Linked DNA regions of Struthio camelus. The protein of the gene in region 1 interacts with the protein of each later gene in a biochemical or structural test. Links are inferred from orthologs where the notes say so. Each region holds a gene or a part of one and is shown on either strand. Other genes may lie near its edges.

Region 1 (7,598 bases):
TGTAAGGTTTATGAGGCCAAACTATTTACAACTTTTAAAAACTTAAATTTTAAGCCAAATAACCTGTTATTCATTCCTACTAACTGGAGAGTAAACCAACATTTACACTCTTAGAAACAGGAAGAACTTGCACAAGAGCTTCAGTAATAAAATTGTTTTCTGGTTTAGGGAAAGTGTTAAAACAGAACCTGCAACTAGCTAGTTACTGTGTATTAGATAATCAGTATATGAATAAGGGCTTCATTACACCTAGGAGTCTTATTAGAACCCCAACATCAGCAAAAGTAGAGCCACAGTCCTTCAATATTTGCATGGGCTAGAAACAAGAAATAAAATTGGATACTTGCAAGCAGAAAGAAAAAAGTGCTGAGCAACACAGAAAAAAAAGCACTGTTGTAGTAGGAAGCTGGTTCTAAACTTCTTTACTCATCAGTTAAAGAAAGGGAACGACGGCAGAGAACCGTGCTAGGTGTAACACAAGCTCTACCGCATTCCAGTAGCAAAACTTTCAACAGATCGCTAAAAGCAAAACTATTTCTGTTAAGAAAAAGTTACTAACTTATGTTCACAAAGTTTATCCACTGCAAGGAACTCAAGATATTAAAAGGCCTCGTGAAGGCTGTTGAAATCTGTAAGAATCCTAGCTTTAAAGGCCATCTTTGCACATCTCAGCAGTTTCTCTAAACTGACCTTTTGCTCTTAAAACAAGGTGCTTTGATTTCAACCCTACAAATTCAGCTGGAAGCCTCTATTGTGAGCTTCTCCTTCTCTCATCAATTAATGTAACCAATAACTAATGTGATAACTGTGCCTCAGTGAGATGTACGAACGCTATTACTGCAAGCAGGTTTTTGAGTCAGCTGAAACTGGAGCACAATACAGTTCGGTCAGTTAGAAGAAGGACCAAAATCCAACCCTTTACCTCCTCCCGCCCACTCTGTTTGCCTTGAAACAACTGTAACTAGTCCTGCCCCTCACTGAGCAAGCATGACTAATGCACACAAGGAATTGCGTGCACTGGTCAAGAATGCATCGCTTTTGCCCAGTCCCTTTTCAGATTTGGGTTTTATTTCACAACCAGACAAACTCCAACATTTGGCAAACCCATAGCAAGGACCAATTTACACTCGGGACACTGCATTCGCACACTTGCATTCTAACCTTATTCCAGGTTCTTAAGGTATGGTCCGATAATTATTACGTACACCAAACTATTAGAGCATTAAGGGCTGTTCAGACTGGAAGTGACACCTGCTTGAGCCATTTTTACTCCTGATGCTCTGGCACAGTAGAAGGGTCAGTAAACTTGGCAAACAAAGAGTTTAAGAGGTTCAAGTGAGGTAGGTTTCCTCACCCTTTCACCCAGTATAATTAGCACAATAGAGAAAGTAGTCCAACAGGGTTCTCAGCACTGCAGACAACCTGTGTTTTTAACAGAGGAAATAAGTGGTGTCATACCAGCCTCCTAAACCTCGGTTTGAGAGAATCCCTTGCTTGCTACAGCTGTAAGACTATGAGTACTTACACTGACAATTTCATTACAAATTCCATAAAGAAAAGCCAGGAAGCAATCCTCAGTTCAGCTGGAAAGGGCTCTCCCCCTCCCCCCGCAAAGTTCTTCAAATTAGTAGTAAAAGTAATTATAAATGTATTGCCAAATGACCTTGGACAATTCACTTCAACTTGATTTCTCTGCCTGAAAAATAAGGTTAGCAGAATATTCTTCATAGGGGTGCTGCAAGACTTATCACTTACAAAACAAAGTTCAAAATGTTATATAAATAGTTCACATTTTAGCTATTGACAAAACTACGTTTCAAAACAAGACTCTGGATACAACTCTAATCAACTGGTGGAATTTGGTTTGGCAGGGACCTAGCAGCAGAGCAACAAGGTCAATGTCAAAAACAACATTTAGGCAGCTTTATGACCCGAGAGAGTTTTAGTTATGTTTGATCGGGGCAAACAGCTTTTTCCGTGAAGAGGTTTGCATAGCTAGCCTATCACTCTAATAGAAAGGGGATATCGGCCCACCAAGTATCACATTAATTGCTCACAGAGACAAGACATAGTACTTTCAGCTGCAGTATAATATCCTTCCATTGGGATCTGCTATGCCAAGGAAAACTGACCTTCAGGATCACCAAACCCAAGCAATGCACCTAAAACAGAGTTTGCTCCAGGCTTAAACAAAAAAAAAAAAAACCCAACTTACCTTCACCCTCCCAGCCCTGCACGAAGCTCGACTCAGCAGCTAAAGATTTACCAAGCAAATAACCGCTCTTCGGAGTCTCGCCCGAGCCTCACCTCACCCTACCAGGCCATGGGGAGCTGCGAGCTCGGCTACCAGGAGCCTTGTCGGGGGGAGGAAGCGCAGGAAAACTCTCGCCGCTCTCGGGCGGGGCAGGCCGGAACGAGGGAGTTTGGGGCGGCCGGGGAAGGAAGGCCCATCTCGCCGCATCCCGTCTAATCCCTCCGGCAGGGGGAGCGACGCGGGGCCTGGCGCAGAGCTGCAGCCCTTCCTCACCCCCTCCCCCTCCGCCTTTTCCCTCCCTTCTCCACCCCCCGGGCTGGGCCGGCGGCTCCCCGCTGCCTGCACTGCGGCCTGGCTGCGGCGGCGGCTCCCTCCTCCCGCCGCCAGCCAAGCGCGGGGCTGGAAGCGGCCGGGCCCGCAAGGCCTCGCCGCCGCCTCAGCGCCTCACAACCCGCCGCGGACCTCGGAGAAAGGACCGTAGGTTGAAAGGAGGGCGGCAGCGGTGACTTACCGGCGTCGGCTGCTGCTGCTGCCCCGGGCAGTGGGTCTGGCTGTGCTCGGGCAGTCCCGCTCGGAGCCGGCTTCCCCCCCTGCCGCCGCTCAGCCTCTCTCCGCCCAAGCACACAAGATGGCGGCGCTCGGCGGCCACGTCAGTGCCAGCCCCGCGCGCGGCACCACGGGTAACCGAGGAGGGCAGCGGGAGGCGGGGCCGGCCGCCGAGGGGGCGGGGCTCCGCCTGCGGCGGCGGCGCTGCAAAGGGGCGGGGCCGGGCGGGAGGCCACGCCCCTCCCTCTCCTCTTGCCCACCCCACCCCCGCGGGTGGGGCGGGGTTGGCGCGTGGGAGCGCGGGCGCGGGGCGGCGCGAGGGCTGTGCGCGTGGGAGCTTTTCCTCCTCCTCCTCCTCCTCCTCCTCCTCCTCCTCCTCCTCCTCTTCCCCCCACCTTCTCCCTGCCGCGGGGCCTGGCGTGCATGCACCATGCAGCATTGCCCCGTGGACGGCTCCTTGGGGACGCATGCACCATGCAGCGTTGCCCCGAGGCCGGCTCCTTGGGGGCGCGTGCACCATGCAGCGTTGCCCCGAGGCCGGCTCCTTGGGGGCGCATGCACCATGCAGCATTGCCCCGTGGACGGCTCCTTGGGGACGCATGCACCATGCAGCGTTGCCCCGAGGCCGGCTCCTTGGGGGCGCATGCACCATGCAGCGTTGCCCCGAGGCCGGCTCTTTGGGGGCGCATGCACCATGCAGCATTGCCCCGAGGCCGGCTCCTTGGGGGCGCATGCACCATGCAGCATTGCCCCGAGGCCGGCTCCTTGGGGGCGCGTGCACCATGCAGCATTGCCCCGAGGCCGGCTCCTTGGGGGCGCATGCACCATGCAGCGTTGCCCCGTGGACGGCTCCTTGGGGGCGCGTGCACCATGCAGCATTGCCCCGAGGCCGGCTATTTGGGGACGCATGCACCATGCAGCGTTGCCCCGAGGCCGGCTCTTTGGGGGCGCATGCACCATGCAGCATTGCCCCGAGGCCGGCTCTTTGGGGACGCATGCACCATGCAGCGTTGCCCCGAGGCCGGCTCCTTGGGGGCGCATGCACCATGCAGCATTGCCCCGAGGCCGGCTCCTTGGGGGCGCGTGCACCATGCAGCGTTGCCCCGAGGCCGGCTCCTTGGGGATGCATGCACCATGCAGCATTGCCCCGAGGCCGGCTCCTTGGGGGCGCATGCACCATGCAGCATTGCCCCGAGGCCGGCTATTTGGGGACGCATGCACCATGCAGCGTTGCCCCGAGGCCGGCTCCTTGGGGGCGCATGCACCATGCAGCATTGCCCCGAGTCCGGCTCCTTGGGGGCGCATGCACCATGCAGCGTTGCCCCGAGGCCGGCTCCTTGGGGGTGCGTGCACCATGTAGCATTGCCCCGAGGCCGGCTCTTTGGAGGCACATGCACCATGCAGCATTGTCCCGAGGCCGGCTCCTTGGGGGCGCGTGCACCATGCAGCATTGCCCCGAGGCCGGCTCCTTGGGGGCGCATGCAGCATTGCCCCGTGGACGGCTCCTTGGGGGCGCATGCACCATGCAGCATTGCCCCGAGGCCGGCTCCTTGGGGGCGCATGCACCATGCAGCATTGCCCCGAGGCCGGCTCCTTGGGGGCGCATGCACCATGCAGCATTGCCTAATAATACCACATTGCGGGATGGTGGAATAGCACACGGACGTTACAAGGTTTAAAGCGTGCCGACGATGCAACCCCCTGCAAGGAGAGTGCATTGAGCGTACGGGCTTGCGACACGCAGGACCCGCTTTGCAGGGCCGTGAGCTGTCTGAAATCCCCGAGGGGGAATCTACAGGCTGTTTTATCCAAACTAAAGCAGGACTGCAGGGAGGAAAAAGGCAAAAAGATAGCTGGTGGGATGTCCCAAGCGCTGGCTCTGGCCTTTCGCAGGCACCTGGGGCGCCTCGGTTTCCCCTCTGAGCCGGAAATACCACTTTTGTCTTTCTTGCCCCGGCCTGGGCACGAAATACTTCCTCCTCTAAAGCGCAGCAGAAATTTGAAAGCAGCAGGAAGCAATGAAAACTCCTTCTTTCTGCCCCCCTTTTCCCCCCCGATGCTCATAGGAAATTAATACCTCAAAATCCTCCGTCCCGCTGTCAAAGGTGGCTGAAATTGCCCGGCAGCTGAAAACATTATAAAGGGATGAGGGAAGACAGACGGGCATGAGCTCAAAAGCCTCTTTTCCTAAAAAAACTAGGTCACGCACGAGAGCGGTGGCAGAGATGGCAGGAGGGAACCCGGACCGGAGCCGGCGCTTGTCCCCCGCCGCCTTGGGGCAGCAAAGCTCACTCTGTACAAGCAGGTAGGATTTAATACGACGATTATTTCACTTAAGGAAGCACCTATGATACGTTAGGTCTCCCCAAAGGTGCACAAAGAGCCTGGAGAGGTCCCAAAACGTTGCAAACACGTTGAGGGGTTTGGGCAAAAGAGAAATGTGGCCTCGGCGCTCTGAGTCATGATGCAAGATGCAGACTTTGCCCGGTGACTCATTTCTGGGAAGAAAAAGGCCTCTTTTTGCAGCGGGGCTGAGCAGACCTGTTCCTTTCCTTTCTTTTTTTCTGCCCGTTTCGGAGTGGGGACGCCGGGGAAAAAGGAACCTCCGCTTGCCCGCCGGGTGCTAGCGGCAGAGCAGCAGCCTCGTCTGCTTTCCTGGCGCGGCCTTTTCGGAGCGGGACGGGTTTTCCTCGCCTCGGGTGACGAATCCTCCAGCATGGCTACACCCTGTTCTCGCTGGCTTTTGCAAAAAATAAAACAATAAATAAATCGTGTTTGTCCAAGGCGATTTTCTGAGGTTGTAAAAATATCCGCGAAGGCTCGCTTGCGAAACGCTTTTCCTTTCCCGCCTGCCCTAGAGAAGAAGAAGAAAAAGAAATCCCCTTAGGCTGGATTTGCTTGAGCTCCGAAGGATTTTAGGGACAGAAGCGGCTTCAAGTGCAAAGCCTGGGGTTTGGGGGTGACACTGGGGCGGGTGCCCACGGGCGAGGGTCGTTCACTGCTCTGCTCTCGGCCGTGGCGGCACCTAAGGCCCCCGTTGGCCGCTTTGGGTCGAGGGTTTCTCACCTTCGAGCTTGTCACATGCTGGTGAGGACGGCGATTGCTGGCAGGAGCTGCAAAATCACCCCCGCCACCAGCTATTGGCTACCTTTCCCACCGAAAAAATAGCGACTACGGCTTGGATTCGGGGTCTTGGAGTCACCTGTTGGGCTAAGAGATCTAGACCTGGTGCTCATGTTTTACCATCCTGCTAGCAAAAGGCGGGTGGGTTTGGGGAGAAAAGCAAGCTAAACGCTACCTGCAGCAAAATTATGCAGCAAAATCATAATTTTGCAGCAGGAGCTTGCTCCAGCTCCATCAGTGAAGTGGAGCTGAAGGCCCAGGTGGGAGCAAAAATGCTGGAGGTGAGTGGAAAGCCAGCTGGGTCCCGTCTCCTGCAGCCCTGCAAACAGCCAGAGCTTTGGGTTTTGCCACGGTTTCTCCGAGAAAAGCCGACTTTGGGTGCAGAGGGACGCGTGCAGCCAGAATTCCCGAAAGGCTGTTTTTTGAGAGCATCTCAGATGTAGGACCGAAGCACGGAGAGCCAAGACAGCAAATTGCCCTTCCATCGGTGACGCCGGCTCCCTGGGGATGGCAGGGAAATTACTTCAGCTCTCTCCGCCTCGCTTTTTTTCTCCTTAATTTGGAAATAGCTCCACTGAGTCACTCAGCGAAGCGCAGGGCTGGTGTGAAGAGCTGCGCCTAAGGTAGGTATCGCTAAATTTTTGGCGCTGCTGCTGCCACCTCTGGAAGGAGCTCCCATGGTGCATGCAATGGGGCCCCTCCCGGGGTGACCGTCGAGGAGTTGCCTTCATGTCCTCAGCGCCTGGGTTGGAAAACACATTCTGGCTAGGTGGAGACCACGTCGCAACCCGCTTGGCCTGGCCCAGAAAGTCACCTGGCGGTAGCTAAGAAGTATTCACTGACCGTGACGTCTCCACGTGGCTGGCGCCGAGTAAATCTGGATTCGGGTGCTTGCAGCGCCGGTAGCAATGCGTTCCTGAGTACATCTGGGGGATCTTCACCGAGGGCCGCTGTCCTCCTTTCCCTTCCTTCGGAAGCAGCCAAGCCTCCTGGTTTTAGCGGATGGTTTTTAGGAGGGTGCATTAGTGTCGTTATTTCACCCAGCGTCCAGGACCGGCGGTGGGAATTGAGCAGCAGAGCCTCTAGACCAGATAGCAGCGTGGGGTCATGCCGCAGATGGTCTCTCCGTCCGCCCTTCCCAGTTTTGGGTTTAATCCTCAGCTTAATTTTAGTGCCAGACCTAACGTGCTGCAGCTGGAGACCTGCGCCAGCTGCCGCGTCCGCGGGGCCAGATCTGTGGACCACCACATGGGATGGAGATGGGGACGAGCACTGTTGTCCGTGGTGCCAGCTGTGTCCCACTGGTGCCTCCAGGTCTCCCAAATCAGAAACATGGCAGGACCACGCAATTGCCCACAGCACAAGGTATTTGGTAGGGTCAGCTCCTTAGAGCTGTCTGGTCTTCCTAGGATCCTCTAAAGTCTCAGCTTCCTTTCCTTGTTACAAAGATATTGTGTCCTTCTGGACAAGATATTAGCTCCTGCAACCTGGATAATTTTGAGCTACTATGGGGTTACCTAAGGCTTCGAGGGGCAAAGGAAGGAAGAGCCACAACCATTTGGGGAGGTCACAGGCCTCATTTTAACAGCAGGTTTCTGGACTAGATGTTAGTTCTTTGTCCATGGGGAACATGCAGCCCTTCAGGGAGTGGTGGGAACCCTTCTGAGGTGTGAAC
Region 2 (7,687 bases), on another chromosome or scaffold:
AAGGATTGTTTAGGTGACCTGTTTTTCTCTTCCACAAAGAATTTGTCAAAAGAAACAACTTGAAATGATGGTGTGTGTCTAGATTTTAACTTGCAGTTTGCAAACCCCATAAAATTAGGTCTACTTTTATTTAAAAAAGACAATGAGATAGAGCAGTGAAGATTTGAATGACTGGAAGTTGTTCAATAAAAACCAAAACTTAGGCATGTGAACAACCTACATTACAAGAGTTGTGGACCCTTAAAGCTTTCAACAGAGCAGACTAACCTATTAAGTCTCCTTAGGATTGAAATTGTAGTGATCAGATGCTGTGTCATGTGTATACATATATTTATAAATATGTATATTATACACTCACATGCATATGTGTATGTATATATATATATGGCATATATTCTTCCTTGTCTGGGCTTTTATATTTGAATGGTGATGGTGGGGAATCTGCTGGTGTACTGAGAAAACCTTGTATAGAATTAAGAGTAAAGAATTAAAGAATAATTTCAAGACACTTTTGCTAAGACTTCTTGGGAAAAGAGTAAACTTAAAGCCTATTTCACGTCACTTTTAATGATTAAATTGTTCTTTATCGTTTTATAAAGTCGGCATCAGTAACGTTAGTTGCTCTCGAGTCAACTTACTTTACAGCTCTTTAACAGTAATGACCCTTCTCCCAGTCTGGTAGTCTGTTGCTGCTGTTAATGTTCAGCAGTCAGTGCTGTGTGCTAGTGACTCAGTCAGCAATGTTGTGCAACTAAACTCAAGAATATGGTTCAGAACAGGTGAAAAGTTAGCACTAGCAATGAGTGCTACCGTTCGTGCGCTTTTTTCCATTCGACTTAGTTTTCACCTGCTATCTACTTTTTGTGGCTTGTTTTTTTTGATGGTGAACAATGTCTCACTGCAGATGCAGCTGGTATTGCTGCATTCCAGCTTTAAAGAAGGGCAGGCCTTTCAAGACAGAAGTCCGTGTGAAGTTTGTGTTTGAAGCATTTTTAAAATATATTTGAGACACCAGTATTCCTCGTGTTCCAGAGTGTGGATTAAAGCAAGTTATTGGTTTCTGTTGCTGAAAATCATGAGACTCTAAATCGTAGTAGAATATTTCTGTTGTGCGCAACATACTGTATGCATTTCATTTACGTTATCAGCCTGGGTTTTGCAGTGGTTTGTTACTGATATTGCAAAATTAGCCAGCCCTCCTATGTGAAAGATCAAAAGATCATAATGTCCATATTCAAAAAGCTAGTGTGTGACTTTTAAAGATGCATTGGGGTTTGCTTTGGTTAATGATGAGGATCTTACAAGTATATGTAGACATACTTGAGCTTGGCAGTAGGATGAAAAGTGGCAAATATGACCATCGTGCAGTTAAGTTGAATGGGAGCTTACAAAATACTACTTTTTCAATATGAATGCCTGGAGGGAGACTAGGATTTGGCCAAGCACAAGATTTGGGAGGGGCTTCTTGGCAGAAGGTAGTACAGCAATATGTAATTTTTGAGTTAGGTAGGATAACAGAGGGACATATACTTTTTGTCATCGGTTCCTACTGTGTCTGTGCAGTGGGCCTGATACTTTCCAGAAGCCCCGTGTTTATTGTTTGTGCTTCATGCTCTTTACTTGCAGTTGCCCACAGAATAAAAGGTAAATAGGAGCTGGCTGCTGTGGGCCCTTCAGGACACAAGCTGTAGGCTGTAAGCCAAATCTGTTGTTTGGGTTGGCTGCAGCCACTTCTGGCAGCTCTGGTCTCAGGACCTGTGGGACTTGTCCTATTATGGGACCGGATCTGTCCTTATCATGTGATGGGACAAATAGGGCAGGAGGGAATGCACTGTTGCTGCTAGAACAACTTGGACCTCATTTTGCTCCTGAGGGACCTTTGTGACGGGGGCCTGTAGCTGGAGTAATACTGTGAGGCAGATACTGCATGTGGACTATGAGTAGAAAACCTTGAGTTAAGGTATTTTATAGGCTTTTGGGATTATGGCAGAGTACATGCCGGTTCTGTGCCTCCATGGTAATTTAAGAGCTCTTACAAAAATATTAAACGTAAAACCCAGTATTCTGTAAAATACACTGCTGCTATGAGATATTCAGTGTTGTAGGGAAGTCTAATGACAGATTTCTTAAAGGTTGGATAATGCCTCTATTTTATGGAGAAGAGAAATGACAGGCCATGCAGATGACAGTCTCTTGAATGCCAGCAAAGTTGGTTGTGTTAAAAGAAGTCTTCAGTTGCTGGGTGGTGAATAATTTATGATGAGTCGTCAGCTTGAATGGCAGAGCAGTCTCTTTGAATATGATCTACTATGTGTAGAGGAGTTATTACAGTATCTTGAACTGATGACTAATGCAAATACTGTCACAATCGATGTGATTATAGTACACCAACCATAGCACAGCCTCTTGGAGAAACAGGGGAGGTGCTAAGATGAAAAAATTCCCAACCTGCTGGCAGATTCAGGAGATGTGTAAGTAAATGTTTATGCAGACAAGAGCCATTCACATGTCCCATTCGGTGCATTAGAACATACCACGATTCCCAGGCAGGAGGAGGGCAGGCACTGAGAGCAGGGTCCATAACCAACCACGGATGTAACCGCGGTAGGGAGGGCGAAAAGACGAATGCTCTGGAGGGAGCCGCAGGAATGTGCGGGCTATTTGTCTGTGCTTAAAAGTGGCTCCTCTGAAGGGTTCTGTCATCTAAGGCAGATGAAAAATGGATTATTCCACTCCTAATAAGAAGCCTACTTTCCTAGAGCAGCATGTGGGAAAACGTGGCATGGATTTCCTTGGAGGGTATTGTGAACAAGTTCTTGCATGTTATTAGTGTCGGTTTACTACACTGTATTATATCTGAAGTACAGTATTTTTAAGTATTTAATTGACAGATTTCAATACTCATACACTTCTTAGGGTGACGTATCCTATTTTTAATAGACAGTTCTTGTATTTCTAATTAGAACCATTTTTCGTTGTCCCTCCCCCCACCCCACCCCCCCAGCTTATTTAGGACCACATATTAGAGATGGTCTTTTGGATGTTTGAGAAAGGGAGAGATCTTCTATACATTTATATGTTTAGTGGTGATTGAGCACTTAAGAACTGGAGATGTTGTTTTCGGAATGGTCAAGCGTGAGCTCCGAGTGGGTTGTGACTATTTCTCTAGGGCTACAGTTGCAGTTGGTTTTGGTCAAGTATCTGCTTAAGATATGTGCACAAATCTGTTTAGTGATATGGACCTCAAAGCAGTGATAAGTAATAAATGCTAATTTTTCGAGGTTAATTAGAAACAGCAACATGTGTCATACCTTGAGATGGTGAGTTAAAGCAGTAGTTCGTTGTGTTTTGACTGGTAAGGGATCCATAGTATGTGTTGTAGGATCCTGGCATAGTCAGAAACTAATGCAGATACTGGCTCTAACCCAGTGTCCTTGCCTCTTGGGTGCAACTAGTATGAGAATTTATTCTCTAAACAGAAATAGTCCTGGAGGCATGTCCAGTCCAGCTCATGCCATACCTGTGTTTTAGTCTGGACCCAGGGCACTGGTTTGGGGTGCACCCAGAGAGAAACTTTTCTGTTTTCTGCTCTCTCCTGTCTGATTTTGAAGCTGTACTGGGACTAACTTGCCTTCACAGCTTTGGAGTTGCATTCCTGTTGGAGTGATTTCTTTTTACTCTTTTAAAATGTTTGCTGGTTTTGAACTTTTACAAGCATTGGTTGATTATAGACTTGGGATGTACATAGCAGAAGTTAGTTTTTAAAGCTCGACTTTTAAAAACATAAACAGGAATTGGAAACCTTATTATTTCTAATATTGTTTACTTTCTGGTGTCTGTCATTATGCCTGACTATTGACACTTTTTTTTTTTTTTAACGGGGGCACCAGCCAGTAGTCAATGGCTTCAGTGCCACTGATCCGGGCTCTTGAAGAATTGGCAACCTGAATGTGAAAGGAGTGCATAACTCTCTTCTGCATTCCAGCTTTTTAGAGGAGCCGGGATTTGTTGAAACAAACAGTGATTGTGAAGGATATGGTAGGTCACAGTTTTGCATGATTAACCACATAGCAACATGGTTTCATGCAAAGTGTTACGGTGAACGATTTTATTCAGAGCAATCACAGTCGCTACTGATGGAAAAACATCACTTCTGGGTGATTTGACTCTTCAGTGCCAAAAAAAGGCAGTGCCTTGCTTCGTCCTGCACCTTAGACCTCAGGATGCGTGCGGCTGGCTGTTCAACCTCACGTGAGGTTGAAGTCTCTTGATCAGAACTGTTGCACTTCCCATTGTCTTGCCCTTACTTTGGCTTAGATAAATCCTTGGGTTGTTGGGTGAGAAGCGTGAAACTTAGCTATGTTGTATATTTCTGGAAAGCAGACTTGGAAGAGGAGCCAGGGTGCAAACGGTACCCCTCCTCCCCCCAACACATACACCCCTTCCCCATGCACTTAGTGACAGCAAACCTTTCCCCCCCTGTCGTCTGCGCGACTTGAACGCTGTCTGAGATCCTTGGTGTGTGCCTGCGCAGTAATCGCAGCGGTGCGGCGGGGAGCGTTGGTTCTCGCCCCGTTCCGCAGAAGGGCGTAATCCAGGCCAGCGCTTGAGGTGTGCTCCGGATGCTTGAGGCTGAGCTCTCCTACTCCTGGAATATCTGCTGTTTCCTGATGTTGGGGGACTCAGTGGAGCTCTGCTTGCCCTCGGAGAGGGTGTTTGTCTGAGGCTCGGATTACTCCTGCACCCTCTACGGTTGGGGACGGTGGGCATTTTCGTTTTGAAACAGCCCCCTTTCAGCCCAATCGGGGCAGCTGATTGCGGAGCTAGAGTAGTCTGGTCCTCGTTTATACTGAGGACAAATATTAATCAGATTTACTCTGCAAAAAAGGACACAAAATATGCAAACGTGCAGCCTGCTGTAAACAATGAAATTGAAGGCTGCTGCTGCTCTAATCCCCTGAATACTGGACCTTGCTTCTCCTGAGCAATGCATTTTGGGACCTGCAGGAAGATGCATGCAGTTACCGAATGGATTTAAATCATCCCTTGATGTATTTTTGGAAGGGGCCAAGAGGACTGGTTATTACTTACATGGATGCTGTACGTTTGTGGGGAGAGATGCAGGAGCGGTGTGGAGAGCTGGAGTGGAGCTGCCACTGCTGAACCGGAGACTGGGAGCTGTGTAACCTTTCCGCAATCTTGGTGCGCAGCGGAGTGACTTTGCTCTGGAAGAGGGGCCCGAGTGGGGTGTGACACAGGATTTTTTTTTTTTTTGGTATTGCGGTGGTTTGTGGTTCTGCATTTTGATTTGCAGCTCCAGAAGCGCACGTCTCCCATACCTCCAGCCCTGGCAGCAGGCAAGGTATGATGTCTGGGCTGAATGTTGCCGCCTGAAGGGAGGAGAGGGGAGGGAGACATGTACCTTCTGGACAGCAGCGAGCCATCGGCTGCCGCCTCTCCGGAGAGGATGCAGCGGGGGACCCCCCAGAGGAAAACAGTCTACCGCATCTCTGTGACCATGGTGAAGAAAGAGCTGCTAGGGCCAGAGGGCAGCCATCCTGGCCTGGAGCTGCCTCAGCACGGGCAGCGGGGAGGGAGCCAAGCACTGGGCTCCTCCAGTCTCACCAGAGCTGGGCTGCTGCTGCTGGAGGAGGAGGGCGAGGAGGGTGAGGAGCAAGACAGAGTACCCAGCCCCTGCGGCTTCCGCAACTTCAGGACCCTCAGCACCGGGCAGCTGGAGCTGGGTCGCCTCAAAGTGGCACGGAGAGCAGCGCAGCCTTTCCCTGCCCAGCTGACCTTCAGGTGGCCGCGGGAGCCAGGCGCTGCGGCGGAGGGGGCGAGGAGCAGCCCTTCGCCAGAGGAAGCCGCTCCTGCCGCTGCGCTTGCCCCTTGTCAGGGCCCGTGCCTGGGCGATGGGGAGCCTCCATCAGTGGTGGCCACCTGTGGCAGGGCTGAAGCCAGAGCTGCGGGGGAGCTGGCGGTGACTACAGCTGCCTCCCCTGGGGAGGATGCTCGGCTCCGGGCCCGCTGCTTGCCTGCAGGCTGCTCAGGCGAGGCTCTGCAGCTGGGGGAGCAGGGACATAGTCCCTGGCGGCAGCCAGGCCAGCTGCGGCGGAGCTTCAGCTTCAGGCACTGGAGAGGGGGGGAGCTGCCGCGGATCAGGGCGCTCACCCGGGTGCGGCGGCACAGCAGCTCGGGCTGCCTTCCCGTGCTGCCCGGCCCTACGCCGAGCGAGGCGGCCGGAGCGCTGGACTTGCTGCCCGCTGCCTCGCCCGAGCCGCCCACCGCTGTCCCCGAGAAACGCAACACCCTGGATGTGGGTGAGGTGCTGAGCAAGGCGGATCCGCTCTCTGAACTGGAGCGCTGGGAGCGGAGCAAGAGCAAGAACCGGACCCTGGATAACAGTGACCTGCAGCGGCTCTCTGAGCGCCTGGGGCGGGATGGCCCTGCTGGCAGTGGCGCCACCGTCCATGAGCACCGGCTGCTGCGCTTCTTCAGCGGCATCTTCGCCCGCAAGGACGGTACCTCCACCCCCTTTGGCAGCCCCCACGGCCGGTCCCCACGGAGTAGCTTCTCCCGGTCCAGGGCTTATTTTAGCAGCCTCAGGAGAGCCACTGTGGATGTGCAGTCTAGCTCGGAGAGCATCAATGGGTCCCCTCACAAAGGTACCCCCCCCCCTTTTTTTTCTTTTTTTGTGATCTGGGAGGCTTGACAGAGGGGGAAGCAAGCAGGTGTGTTTGCTGCAAGGGTTTGAATCGGGGCTGAGGGATGGTGGTGCCAAAAGGCCTTTCTAATTGAGGAGATGGAGATGCTGCCCTGGGAGTACACCTACATGATCTGATGTATTTGTTTTATGCAGTAGAGGATATTGTATATCTTGAAATATTTGATAGTGTTTCCTTCTCAGGTGCACAGCCTGATGGTTATGATGGAGGCAGATGAGGTGGTGTGCCTCCTGAATGGAGAAACACTCAGGGTGGTTCACTGTGGCTGCTAGTAGAGCTGAGTGAGGCAAGTGTAGCTTGCTTAATTATGTAGTGGAAGCTGAACTCCTGTGTTGCTCTGTGTGTGTGTGTATATATATAGGTCAGTGGGTGGCTGAGTGCTTTGCAGCGCTCGGGATTTCTCCTTTTGGAAAGACTTTCTGAATCTCGAAGAGGGGTTACAATGGCCAGAAATATATTTGCTAGCATTGGAGTAGGTGAATATTGCTAGAAACACATTCAAAACTGTAAACCTCTTCCATCATCTTGATTACAAAAATGCTTAAGCTTGAGTTCATATTCTTTAAAAAAAAAAAAAAAAAAAAAAAAAACAACAGAACACCACAAACTCGGATGATGCTCTGTGAATTATTTTACATGGTTATGTATCAATCAAATCTGGAACTAGCCAAGCATTGCTAATGCTAGGTGGAAATCAGATTGGGAATTCTGGGATTCCTAAACCCTTAGGATACAAGAAAAACTTGAAAATGTAAGCTCACTGTGGGATGGGAGTCACGAATTGGCTAGCAGGGTTCTGTAAGGATCTACAAGGATCATGGTATGCTTGACTGAGACATGTTAAACCAGAAATGCTGGTTACGGAGCTTCACTGTAAGACACTGCTTTCTTCCTTGCAATGCCTTTTTAATCGTTATTAGGTGTCCGAGGTCAAACATTTCGCTAGTAATCATACTATCCTT

What was found. The genes of interacting proteins can lie anywhere in the genome.
Region 2: of the proteins of ARF1 (region 1) and AGAP1, one has a biochemical effect on the other in vitro, tested with the Homo sapiens proteins (2 studies listed by BioGRID, with this or other methods). The link is inferred for Struthio camelus from reciprocal best matches to the Homo sapiens genes ARF1 and AGAP1.

Annotation. Positions count from the first base shown.
Region 1 is NC_090943.1:3,582,258-3,589,855, reverse strand, and holds the start of ARF1 (ADP-ribosylation factor 1), read right to left. Parts: upstream 3,004-7,598; 5' UTR 2,766-3,003; exon of another isoform or gene 2,216-2,765; intron 1-2,215. UniProt on the Homo sapiens protein: Small GTPase involved in protein trafficking between different compartments. Modulates vesicle budding and uncoating within the Golgi complex. In its GTP-bound form, triggers the recruitment of coatomer proteins to the Golgi membrane.
Region 2 is NC_090947.1:3,584,775-3,592,461, forward strand, and holds the start of AGAP1 (arf-GAP with GTPase, ANK repeat and PH domain-containing protein 1), read left to right. Parts: upstream 1-4,684; 5' UTR 4,685-5,380; coding exon 5,381-6,665; intron 6,666-7,687. UniProt on the Homo sapiens protein: GTPase-activating protein for ARF1 and, to a lesser extent, ARF5. Directly and specifically regulates the adapter protein 3 (AP-3)-dependent trafficking of proteins in the endosomal-lysosomal system.